2 linked regions of the Neurospora crassa OR74A genome follow. The protein of the gene in region 2 interacts with the protein of the main gene of each other region in a pairwise test. Links are inferred from orthologs where the notes say so. Each region holds a gene or a part of one and is shown on either strand. Other genes may lie near its edges.

What was found. The genes of interacting proteins can lie anywhere in the genome.
Region 1: the proteins of NCU03669 (region 2) and NCU06090 interact in binary tests that used the Saccharomyces cerevisiae proteins (3 or more experiments, as listed by UniProt). The link is inferred for Neurospora crassa OR74A from reciprocal best matches to the Saccharomyces cerevisiae genes SPB1 and RRP14.

What each region holds. Positions count from the first base shown.
Region 1 is NC_026507.1:1,847,947-1,852,202, reverse strand, and holds NCU06090 (hypothetical protein), read left to right. Parts: upstream 1-1,456; 5' UTR 1,457-1,694; coding exon 1,695-1,715; intron 1,716-1,837; coding exon 1,838-1,921; intron 1,922-2,031; coding exon 2,032-3,522; 3' UTR 3,523-3,975; downstream 3,976-4,256. Other genes in the region: NCU06089 (exonuclease), read left to right, coding at 1-811. UniProt on the Saccharomyces cerevisiae protein: Involved in ribosome biogenesis and cell polarity. Required for the synthesis of both 40S and 60S ribosomal subunits and may also play some direct role in correct positioning of the mitotic spindle during mitosis.
Region 2 is NC_026505.1:2,020,691-2,026,109, reverse strand, and holds NCU03669 (AdoMet-dependent rRNA methyltransferase spb1), read right to left. Parts: upstream 3,426-5,419; 5' UTR 3,283-3,425; coding exon 3,115-3,282; intron 3,048-3,114; coding exon 1,271-3,047; intron 1,204-1,270; coding exon 733-1,203; intron 654-732; coding exon 574-653; 3' UTR 401-573; downstream 1-400. Other genes in the region: NCU03668 (WD domain-containing protein), read left to right, coding at 4,476-5,181, 5,238-5,348, 5,403-5,419. UniProt on the Saccharomyces cerevisiae protein: Required for proper assembly of pre-ribosomal particles during the biogenesis of the 60S ribosomal subunit. Specifically methylates the guanosine in position 2922 of the 25S rRNA at the stage of 27S pre-rRNA maturation.

The DNA of each region.
Region 1 (4,256 bases), on a different chromosome or scaffold from region 2:
CGTCACTGCTAACCCCGAAAAAAGTAAGTTCTTCCCTCAGACCAAGGCGAAGAAGGCGGCAGCCAGGAAGTCGGAGTCTTTCATCATGTCGGATGACTCTATCGAGGAAGCTTTTCGGAGCGTTCCGGATGCTGTATGGAGTTCGTCAAAGGCTCGTCGTCGGAGCGGAAAGGTTCAGTTTGTCGAGGAGTCACCGTCCTCTGAACCAGTGTCTCAGGAGAAGGAACAGGAAGATTTGGAAGAGCCATCTCTTCCTGCGATGCCAAGGAGTACCACCATTGATGCCAGCAGCGATGCCGAGGACGAAGTGGAAGTTCCTGGCTCATCATCGCAAGAGGCCATCACCAAGAAAAGTGTGAAATCCCAGACGCCGCTGGGCCCTCGGCTCCGGCAATTCTCGTATCAACCAGGTAAACCCGGTGCTCGCCTTGTCAATGGTCTGCCTACACCTTCCTCAACCCAAGAGAGATCTGCTGCGGTGCGTAGATCATCGTTGAATCCAAGCTCGCCCATGTTGACTCCGTTGCAACGCATGGGAGCCCGGGCATTGAAGCAAGTTACACCCCGCGCCACGCCTCCTAGCAGCCTCCGCGCACGTAAATCAAGCAAGCCGAGCGAGGCTCTCGGCTCCGTCCAGGTGGATCCCGCCGCCATTCCGTTGCCGTTGGCCGACTTTGCTGAAGTTAGAGCCCTGAACATGTCGCTTCAGGGGAGCGAGGATCAGATTATTCCTGAGAGTGATGGAGAAACCGAATTGGGCACGGCAGCCACTCGTCCGCGACTTAACTTGGCGCAGTACCTGTATTCGTGAGCCCCCAACTCGTGCTCTCTGGAGTGTATTAGGAGAAGCCAGATATGTGGTGTGCATAGCTCTCGGCGTATCGGTAAGGAAGAAACCCCGCCTGGAAAATGGGTGGGCTTGAATTGTACTATGGTCTGTTGTAAGGAAACGAGGAAAGATCATGGGTCAGGAGTATTATCAGGCAAAGAAGGCAATCATGGAAAGAGCAGGCTGAAGTAAATGAGGAGAACTTCTATTGCCTGTTATGCGATAACATTGCCCTGATGGGCCATTCATTGATGGCCTTTGTCCAGAAGGTAGCTATATCACTTTAGTAGGAAATAAACAAACAATGGTAACCATGATGAAGGAACACTGTTGCACCTGTCAAGACACTGTCAGGAGACATGTCACCATCAGATCCAAACATAAATCCTATAGGTATACTATACACGAGGTAGACGGGAGCGTGCTAGAATAGGCAAGTATCCCTCTAACCGCGATAAGATCGATGAGTAGGTGCCAGGGCAGTTCACCGCCTTTGGCAGAATGCCAGAACCCCAAGCGTGAAAGTGTGGGGCAAGGTGCTGGGGGGCTCCACACTGCTGGGAACAATCCACTAAAATTTCACTGTAATCCACTGGCGAACAAAAATTCATCGAGACGGGAAACAGTCGCTCGACCACAGCCGACCCGCCCTCCACTGTCTCAATTTTTCCATCTGGGTTTCGTTTCGATACCTCGACATACTACCTCGACCATTATTCCGCCCGCTCGACATCACTCACAACCCCATCACAGCGAAATCCCGGATTCGACTTTCTTTGTCGCCTCAATCACCTAGGTCTCTCTATTTTAGCGACTGGCAATCAACCAGGTCGACTCGTACAAGCGAAAACCAGCGTGTGCAAAGATGGCGGATACCGATTTGCAGGTAAGCAGACCGGCGCTGGAATGCACACCACCGATACGGTGATACCCATGGGCTGGTAGTTGTGGCCAAACTGGGATGGCTAGAGTTCGACGCTGACCATGCCGTCTTGCGATTGCGAACAGGAGCGCCTGCGTTCTCACGCTCAGGCCTTTGACGGTCTACTGTCGCTGATCCCAGCCAAGATGTACTACGGCGAGGACAATAGTGTACGTTACCCCCACCCGTTGACTTAGCTCTTCATCATAAACTCAACCATTGATGTTGGTGTCAAAATGCCTTCGATCGCGTCGCTGATCCCAAGTAACCCCGCCAACAGGATCAGTGGAAGAAGAAGAAGCAAACCAAGGAGCAGGCAAAAGCTGCTAAGCGGGGGAAGCTCGATCCCGACAGTGAACTCAACCGCAACGCCAAGGAGGTCATGGAGGAGCGCGCCCGCAACAAGCGCAAGCTCCAGGAAATGGAGGAGAGCAGCACTGAAGACAGCGACATCGACGTCGAAATCCCTGGTGTTGAGAAGGAGAAGCCTCTTGAAGGACTGAAGAAGAGGGTCGTCAAAGACGACGCCGAGACAGAAGAGTCTGCGCCTAAAAAGCAGAAGCTTTCCGAGGAGGAGGAGGAGGTGGTGGAGGAGGAGGCCGTCCCCGCTGAGAAGCCCTTGAGCAAGAAGGAGCAAGAAAAGGAGGCCAAGCGTCTCGCAAAGCTGGCCAAGCAGGAGAAGAAGAAGGCCAAGCTCGAGGCGAAACTAGGCAAGGGTGGAAAGACGGAAAAGAAGGACGACACCGCCGAAGAAGCCAAGCCTTCTACCGAAGCTAACGAGGACGACGAGAACGACGATATGGCTCCCATTGATGTGTCTGGTCTCGTAACAAAGGAGGATGAGGGCGAGTCCCAGGAATCCGCTCAATCTTCTGTTTTCGACAGTCGCGACAAGGCCGGTTCCGCCGAGCCTGCCAGCGCCAACACCTCGATCTCTTCCGCCGTTCCCCCATCGGATAAGCCCAAGTTCAAGCTTCCCGCCGATACCACGGTTCTCCGCGAGCGTCTCGCCGCCAAGATTGAGCAACTCCGTGCCGCTCGCAAGGTTGAGAAGGACGACGAGGGTAAGCCCATTCGCACTAGGCAGGAACTCATCGAGATGCGCCGCGAGAAGGAGGCCAAGCGCAAGGCCCACAAGCGCGAGCAGAGACAGAAGCAGAAGGAGGAGGAGGATCGGAAGCGGTCAGAGGCTATTGCCAGCTCGCGCAACTCTCCCCTAAGCATGCTCAGCCCCAAGGACGATGTTGAAACCAACTTTGCTTTCGGACGTCTCGCCTTCTCTGATGGTGTTCAGCTTTCTCGTGACGCCGCCTTTGTCAAGTCCGACGGAACCAAGAAGAAGGGCCCCACGGACGCCAAGTCCAAGCTTGCCAAGCTTGAGGCGCAGAAGAAGCGCCTCGAGGCCTTGCCTGAAGATAAGCGCAAGGAAGTCCTTGAGAAGGAGACGTGGCTCGCTGCTCGCAAGCGTGCCGAGGGCGAGAAGGTTCACGACGACGAGCACCTGCTCAAGAAGGCTGTCAAGCGCAAGGAGAAGGCAAAGAGCAAGAGCGCCAATGAGTGGAGAGAGCGCAAGGAGGGCGTCGCCAAGGCCCAGTACGATAGGTCAAAGAAGCGCGAGGAGAACATCAAGAAGAAGCAGGACGAGAAGAAGGCCCGCAAGATGGGCATCAAGGTCAAGAGCGGCAAGGGCGGTAAGGGTGGAGGAAAAGGTGCTTCCAAGGGTAAGAGCAGGCCTGGATTCGAGGGCGGATTCGGTGGTAAGAAGAAATAAGCGTCGGATAAGGTGTTCAGCAAGGGGTGTTTTGTCTTTTTGGAGAGAGATGTTGATACCACTGCTGCTGCATAGCGGCAGATGCTCGGGAGGCTGGCATATCCTTTTCCCATTCTTCTGCCTTGTCGCTACGTACATATTTCTTGCTGGAAGGGGGTAACAGGTGGTGTTTTTGGCGTTTGTTTTTTTTCCTCATGGTTTTTCGTTTCTTTTTTCTTTGCACGGTCGGAATGGAAAAAGAGATTATATCACACGTACATATCACAACTGGACCAGATCACGACAAGCGGTTAACATGGTACGAGGCTGGGCAAGCCTTGTCTTTTGTTCTTTTATACTTAGCTAGCTTTTAGTAGTGGTGGCGAAGGGAGGAGGTAGGGGCTGGAGGTCCCCCTTCTTCTTCAGCGAGGCAGCATCTTCAGGGAGTTAAAAAGTGATTATCAGCTCACCGAGTCTTTTCTCTTTTTTTGTCCGGTGACTTGAATTGGTGATGTGAGACGCATAGCTTCCCTTTCTTGCTTGTCTGATACCGAGGCGCTCTCCGGTGTAGGCGTTAAATTCCAGCTGTGAAATGAGGTGCTGTTAGTGCTGGGTGGTCGGACTCTACTTTATTCGCAATCAAAGCACTAACACGGCGCCTGGAAGCCGACATAATTCTAGGTGATGCTACACGATTTTATCATGATCGGAGCAACCCGTGTTCCGTTCCACAAGGGAAGCTTGGAAGGGGTTAA
Region 2 (5,419 bases):
CAAAAAGCAACACTCCAAGTTTGACATCTGTGTTATCATCGACAACTCCCCGATTTTCGGGGAAAAAAAAAAAGAAAAAAAAAAAAAAAAGCCAAGTTGCCCGGGTAAGCTTGTGGAACGAACAACAATGCTCCAGCTGCAACCTACGAAAACTGTACCTCGGATACCGCGCACCCAACAACGTTTTCATCATGAACCACTGCGCCATAAGACCGCAGGGCCCGCTGGGGTAGAGGGGCTATGTAACGGACCTTATATGCTGCCCTGCTGCCCGGCCCAGGCCCAGCTCGGGCCCGGGTGTCATGTCATCCGATGTCTGAGGACGGGAAGGGCGCGCCGACAGGGTGGCGACCTCGGCGGCAGCAGGAGCTCAAGAACCTTGAACCCAAGTAAACGACGTCTTGAAAGCTTTTAACAGTGCTGCTCTCTTTATTGACCATTCAATCCCCCTTTGATATACAAGCATAACAAGATCTGTCTTGTCATAACAACCGTCTTCTACAACGATATGAACAGGTAAAAAGGTATCGCAATTAAAACTTCCACCAACTATACTGCTGCTGGACACGACGTCTATTTCTTCTTGGAAATCCTCTTCATCGCCCTCAACTCCTTCTTCATACGAGGATCCACCATCTTGTACCTGCCCTTGACTATAAAATTGAAAAAACCGAGTTAGCATCATTCCAACATAAAGAACACACCAGATCTTAAGGTAGTGATAGTACGAACCTCCTTTAGGTCTGCCCTGGAGACCCTTGTTGGAACCAGCAGCCTTGACAACCTTGATAGGCGCCCTCCTCGTCTTCTTAGCAACCGACGCCATGAGCTTCGAAATGCTAGCAGCCTTTTCCTTTTCTGACATGCCATCGTCACCGGCAAGCATATCGGCCTTCTTCTTGAGCTTCTCCAGCCTCTGGGCCTGCTTGAACTTCTTCCTGGCCTTGGCCTCGGCCACCTTCTTGATAGGACGGGCGTTGTAGGCCCGGAGCTTCTCCTTAATGGCCTGCGCTGCGGCCTTGGTGATGGGCTTGTGCGGCTTGTCGTGCTTGGACTCGTCGTCAAGGAACCAGTCGGGAAGACCGTCGCGGTCCTTGAAGGCGTGCTTGGTGTAACCGTCGTCGATGACGTCGTAACTTGTCTTCTCGCCGGTCGCGAGCTGGTGGGCGAGGGTCATGGCCTCGGCGGTGATGATGTCGATGTCTGTAGTTGTCATAGTCAGCCATTGCCCTTAACAGGTCATACTGAAGAGGGACTGAGTGAAACTTACCAGGCCTGCCGTTCTTCTTCTTCTTCTCAACGTTCTCCCAGTCGTCATCCTCGTTGTTCTTGACAACCTCGAAATCGTCGTCGTCATCGCTCTCCTCGGCCGCCTTCTTGCTCTTGGCCTTGGTTTCCTTGGCTTCCTTCTTCTCCTTCTTGGTAACCTTGAGGTCCTCCACAGCCTCAACAAGCTCAGCCTCCTGAGCCTCCTCCTCCTCAGATTCTGGCTCCTCCAAAAGTCCTGGTATCTCCGCAAAGATACCTTGACTGAAGAAGTTCTTGGCCCGCTTGGACAGACCATCCTTCTCTTCTGGCTGGCCGTCTAGATCTGTTATAAGTTTCTTGCCAGATTCACCATCCTCTGAGTCGGAATCATCATCACTGCTGTCCACTTCTAGTTCCTCATCGTCATCGTCGTCGCTACCCTTCTCCTCATCGCCAGATACGCCTTCCCATTCATCGTCGCCGTTCTCTTTCCTGGCCTTCTTGGCACGGTACTTGGCATCGGCCGCCGCCTTCCGCTCCCGGTACTGATCGTACAGGTTGTCGAGCTCTTCCTCCAGACGATCGGCCTCCTCGTCGCTCTCGTCGGTTTCGCCGTCGGAGCCAAAGTCGTAATCCTTCGGTTTCTCGGTCTCTTTGATAACGGCCATCTTGCCCTTGGCGATCTTATTCAGGGCAGCGTTCTGGTCGATAGTCTTGAGACGGAACATGGCACCCTCACCACGGGGACCTTCCTGCTCCACACCAATATCCATGGGCGCAGTCATGTTCATCTGCATGCGGACAATCTCCTTTTGCTTCTTCTCATTCTCGCGCCTCCTCTCGCGCTTCTTCTTGGAGGTCTCCTTCTCCTTGATCCTTTGCAGCTCCTCCTGGATCCTAAGCTCCTCATCCATGTTCTCCACTACCGCAACCTCCTCGTCCACAGCTGCCTTCTGGGTCTTCTTGGAGGGGAAGCCGAAGATCTCCCGTACTTTTAGACGCCATTTTAAGAGAAGCTTGAACTCTTTCCTGCCGAGCACTTTGAGATCGGCGCAGCAGAGACGGATTTCTTCGGTCGTTTCGGGGAGCTTGTCGAGGGCAGCCAATGCTACATCGCCGTTCTTGGGTTGCTCAAAGCTGAGTTTGTTGTACTGGCCGAGAATGGCGATGGGATCGACAGTGTTGATGAACTCGCTGGCAGAGATCTCCTTGAACTGGGTGTAGTCTCCCTCCTCATAACCCTCTCTCTTTCTCTTCTTGACTTCGGGGTTGTACACCTTGGCTTCGTTGTTGGGGGCGGGGCCGGCCACATCCTCGAAAACGGAGCGGGGGTCGAGAAGCTTGGGGTCAATGCGCTTGGGGGCCTTGAAGCCGCGGCAGACGACGAAGATTTCGGCGGAGACGTTACGGGACGAAGGGGGCTTCGTAGCCTCGACCTTGGCGAAAAGCTGGTTGCAAACCCAGAGAAGGGAGTTGTAGTCCTTGGATCTGAACACCTTGGTGACGAACGTACCGCCCTCAATAAGGAACTCGGTGGCCAGCTTTAGCGAGTGCAGGGCAAGTTCGGCCTGGTTGTACGAATCCTGGACCCAAGCAGTACCGACGTTGGGCGCACCATCGTGAAGAACGACGTCGGCCTTCCATGTCTTGAGATGGGAGCGGATGGTTGCGCGACACTTTTCGGTGGTGATATCGCTCTGGAAGGTAATGACCTTGGGGATGGGCTTGATGGGAGCAAGATCGACACCGATGATGATGGAGTTTGTCGGCATAGTCTCGGCGCAGACTTGACACCACGACTAGGGACGGACACAGACATGGTTAGTTCACTCCATGATAAACTGGATGTTCACGACTATGACTTACACCGGGCGCAGCGCAAAGATCGAGAGCGACCTTGCTTTTCTCGAGGAATCCATACTTCTTGTTGAGCTGGATCAGCTTGAAGGCGGCACGGGCACGATAACCCTTCTCCTTGGCAAGCTTGTACCACTTGTCAAGACGGCCCTTGCCGTGTTTCTTTTGGATCGCCATGGTGCCGGTGCTCTAAGTCGGGGGGTGTTTCCGACTGGTGTTGTTGAGCAGGACGACCTGGTGACTTTTTTGGGTTGGTGAAAATGGCAGTCCGGGTGCCCTTTGACTGTTCTTCCCTCCAGCACTCGCAGCGCAGGGATTGCAGGGTCGTCGTTGCAGAATGATTTTTTTGGATGACAGCTGCAGGGCGATAAGCGATAAGAGACTGGACTCCGGCGGCTGGTGGGGCAACGAGCAAGACGGGCCCCATCAGGGTGGGCCAGACATCCCGCGGTTGAAGTGCAGTGCATTGACCAATCTTCATGTCTTCAGCAACCGCGATTTATGGGACGAAAAAGCCATTAAGCTTTCGCGATGCAGCGCGTCATTTGTTCCCGCGTCTTCGCGTTCCCCTGATGGAGCACTAAACCGCATTCCTTCTAGGCGCCTCCCCCCCGACCCCCGGCCGCTACGGACCGCACGCCCAGCCTCTGCCCACTGGAGGAGGTGTTCAATGGAGTCCATGGGTGGTCAGGCCAGGTCAGGTCAGGTTTCCATGGCTGTCGATTTGGTTGCCCGGCAAACCTAGGTACTCAAGTGGGAACTCAGCAAAAGCGTAGGTACTTCTAGGAACTGAACCACGCAAGGGAAATCCACAACAGAAACGAACAACCAAATCCAATTCCATCACATCTCCACCTACGCATTCAATTTCAAGTCCATACTACCAAGGACACACTTACACCAGAAACCGACATAGACATACCCCTTCCGGCCGCACCACTTCACTCAGAGGACCCATACTACTACGACCAAATCCGCCAACCAATAAACTCGGCGCCAATACCTTACGCCCCCCCCGGCCGCCTACCTTGTCTCTCAACGACGACCTCGACCTCCCGTCCTTCTTCAAGCTCAGCCTGCTTGCTGCACACAGCCTAGCCTGCAACTTCGACGTCAGCCCTTGTCCAATATCCAGTCGACACTTGCCAGCAATACCTCTGCGCCAGCTGTTGCTCAACTGATTCTGTACAAATATCCATCACCACAGCCTGTTCTCTGTCTCCGCGTACCCTTGCCATCGGCGGCCCCTCGCTGCCAGGTCGCGCGCATCCAGCGTCGCCGGCCCCGTGTACATCGTCTCTAGGTATCGTGTTGCATAAGCGGCCTGGACCCAGCTCTTCGCTCTGGTAGTCGAAGAGAATCCTTTCGCCATGGCCGATAACTCCAACAGCACTTCAACCCCTTTGGGAGTTAAGAGCTCGTCGTCGTTGAACACCAGCAACAACATTCCCCCCATTCCGTCCTCTCCTCCTCCGCGAAGCGCAGCCAAGGAACGTCGAAACCCGTCCATCACCCCCCGGAAATTCAGGCGCTTCTTTACTCCCCGAGTCATAGCGAATAACCACCCCAGCGCTTCCCAAAGAGCTCTTCGTGATCTAGCCGGTCCTCTCATAGAACGATCTCATACTCCATCCAGTCCTCTCAGGCCCATCTCGGAAGAGGAAATCCCAGATGTGTTACCGAGCCTTCAGGATGGCCAGAGAAGCTCCAAGCGTCGAAAGATCACTCATGCTTCAACACCCAAGAGGGCTGAGGCATCGCACGTATCCCACCTACCCTCTCCTGCAGCCACATCCCCAGCCTTACTTTCGACTCCCGAGTTGAAGCACGATCGTCTCGGCAGTCCGATCCATTCTATTCGGAAGCTACCATCCCAATTGGCCCTCGATGGAGATGAGGCTGAGTCGGAAGAAAGTGATGATGATGATGATGGGCAAGAGCTGCCAACCACACGACGTCGGCCAAACCGTGCGCCTATACAGTTGGATCGTCGTGGATTGGGAGCTCAACTGGTGCAGCGAGTGACGGGTGGTATGCCTGGTGCCGGAAACAGGTCTTTATCATGCCCAGTTTCTGGTATGTGGTGATATGTCGATGCATCTTCCTCAAGCCTATGCTGACTCGGTAAACAGACTGGCGGTCGGAAACGGCGGACTTTTATAGTCGCCGAGAAGACGCCCATTTTATGAACAGCCACGAAGGACATCCTCGCAGCATCCCATTCTGCACCACAAGCTGCAATAGTAAGTCAGCATACATTCGTTGGCCGATAACTCCGTTTGCTGACCACCCCAAAGCCAAGAATCTTGTTGCT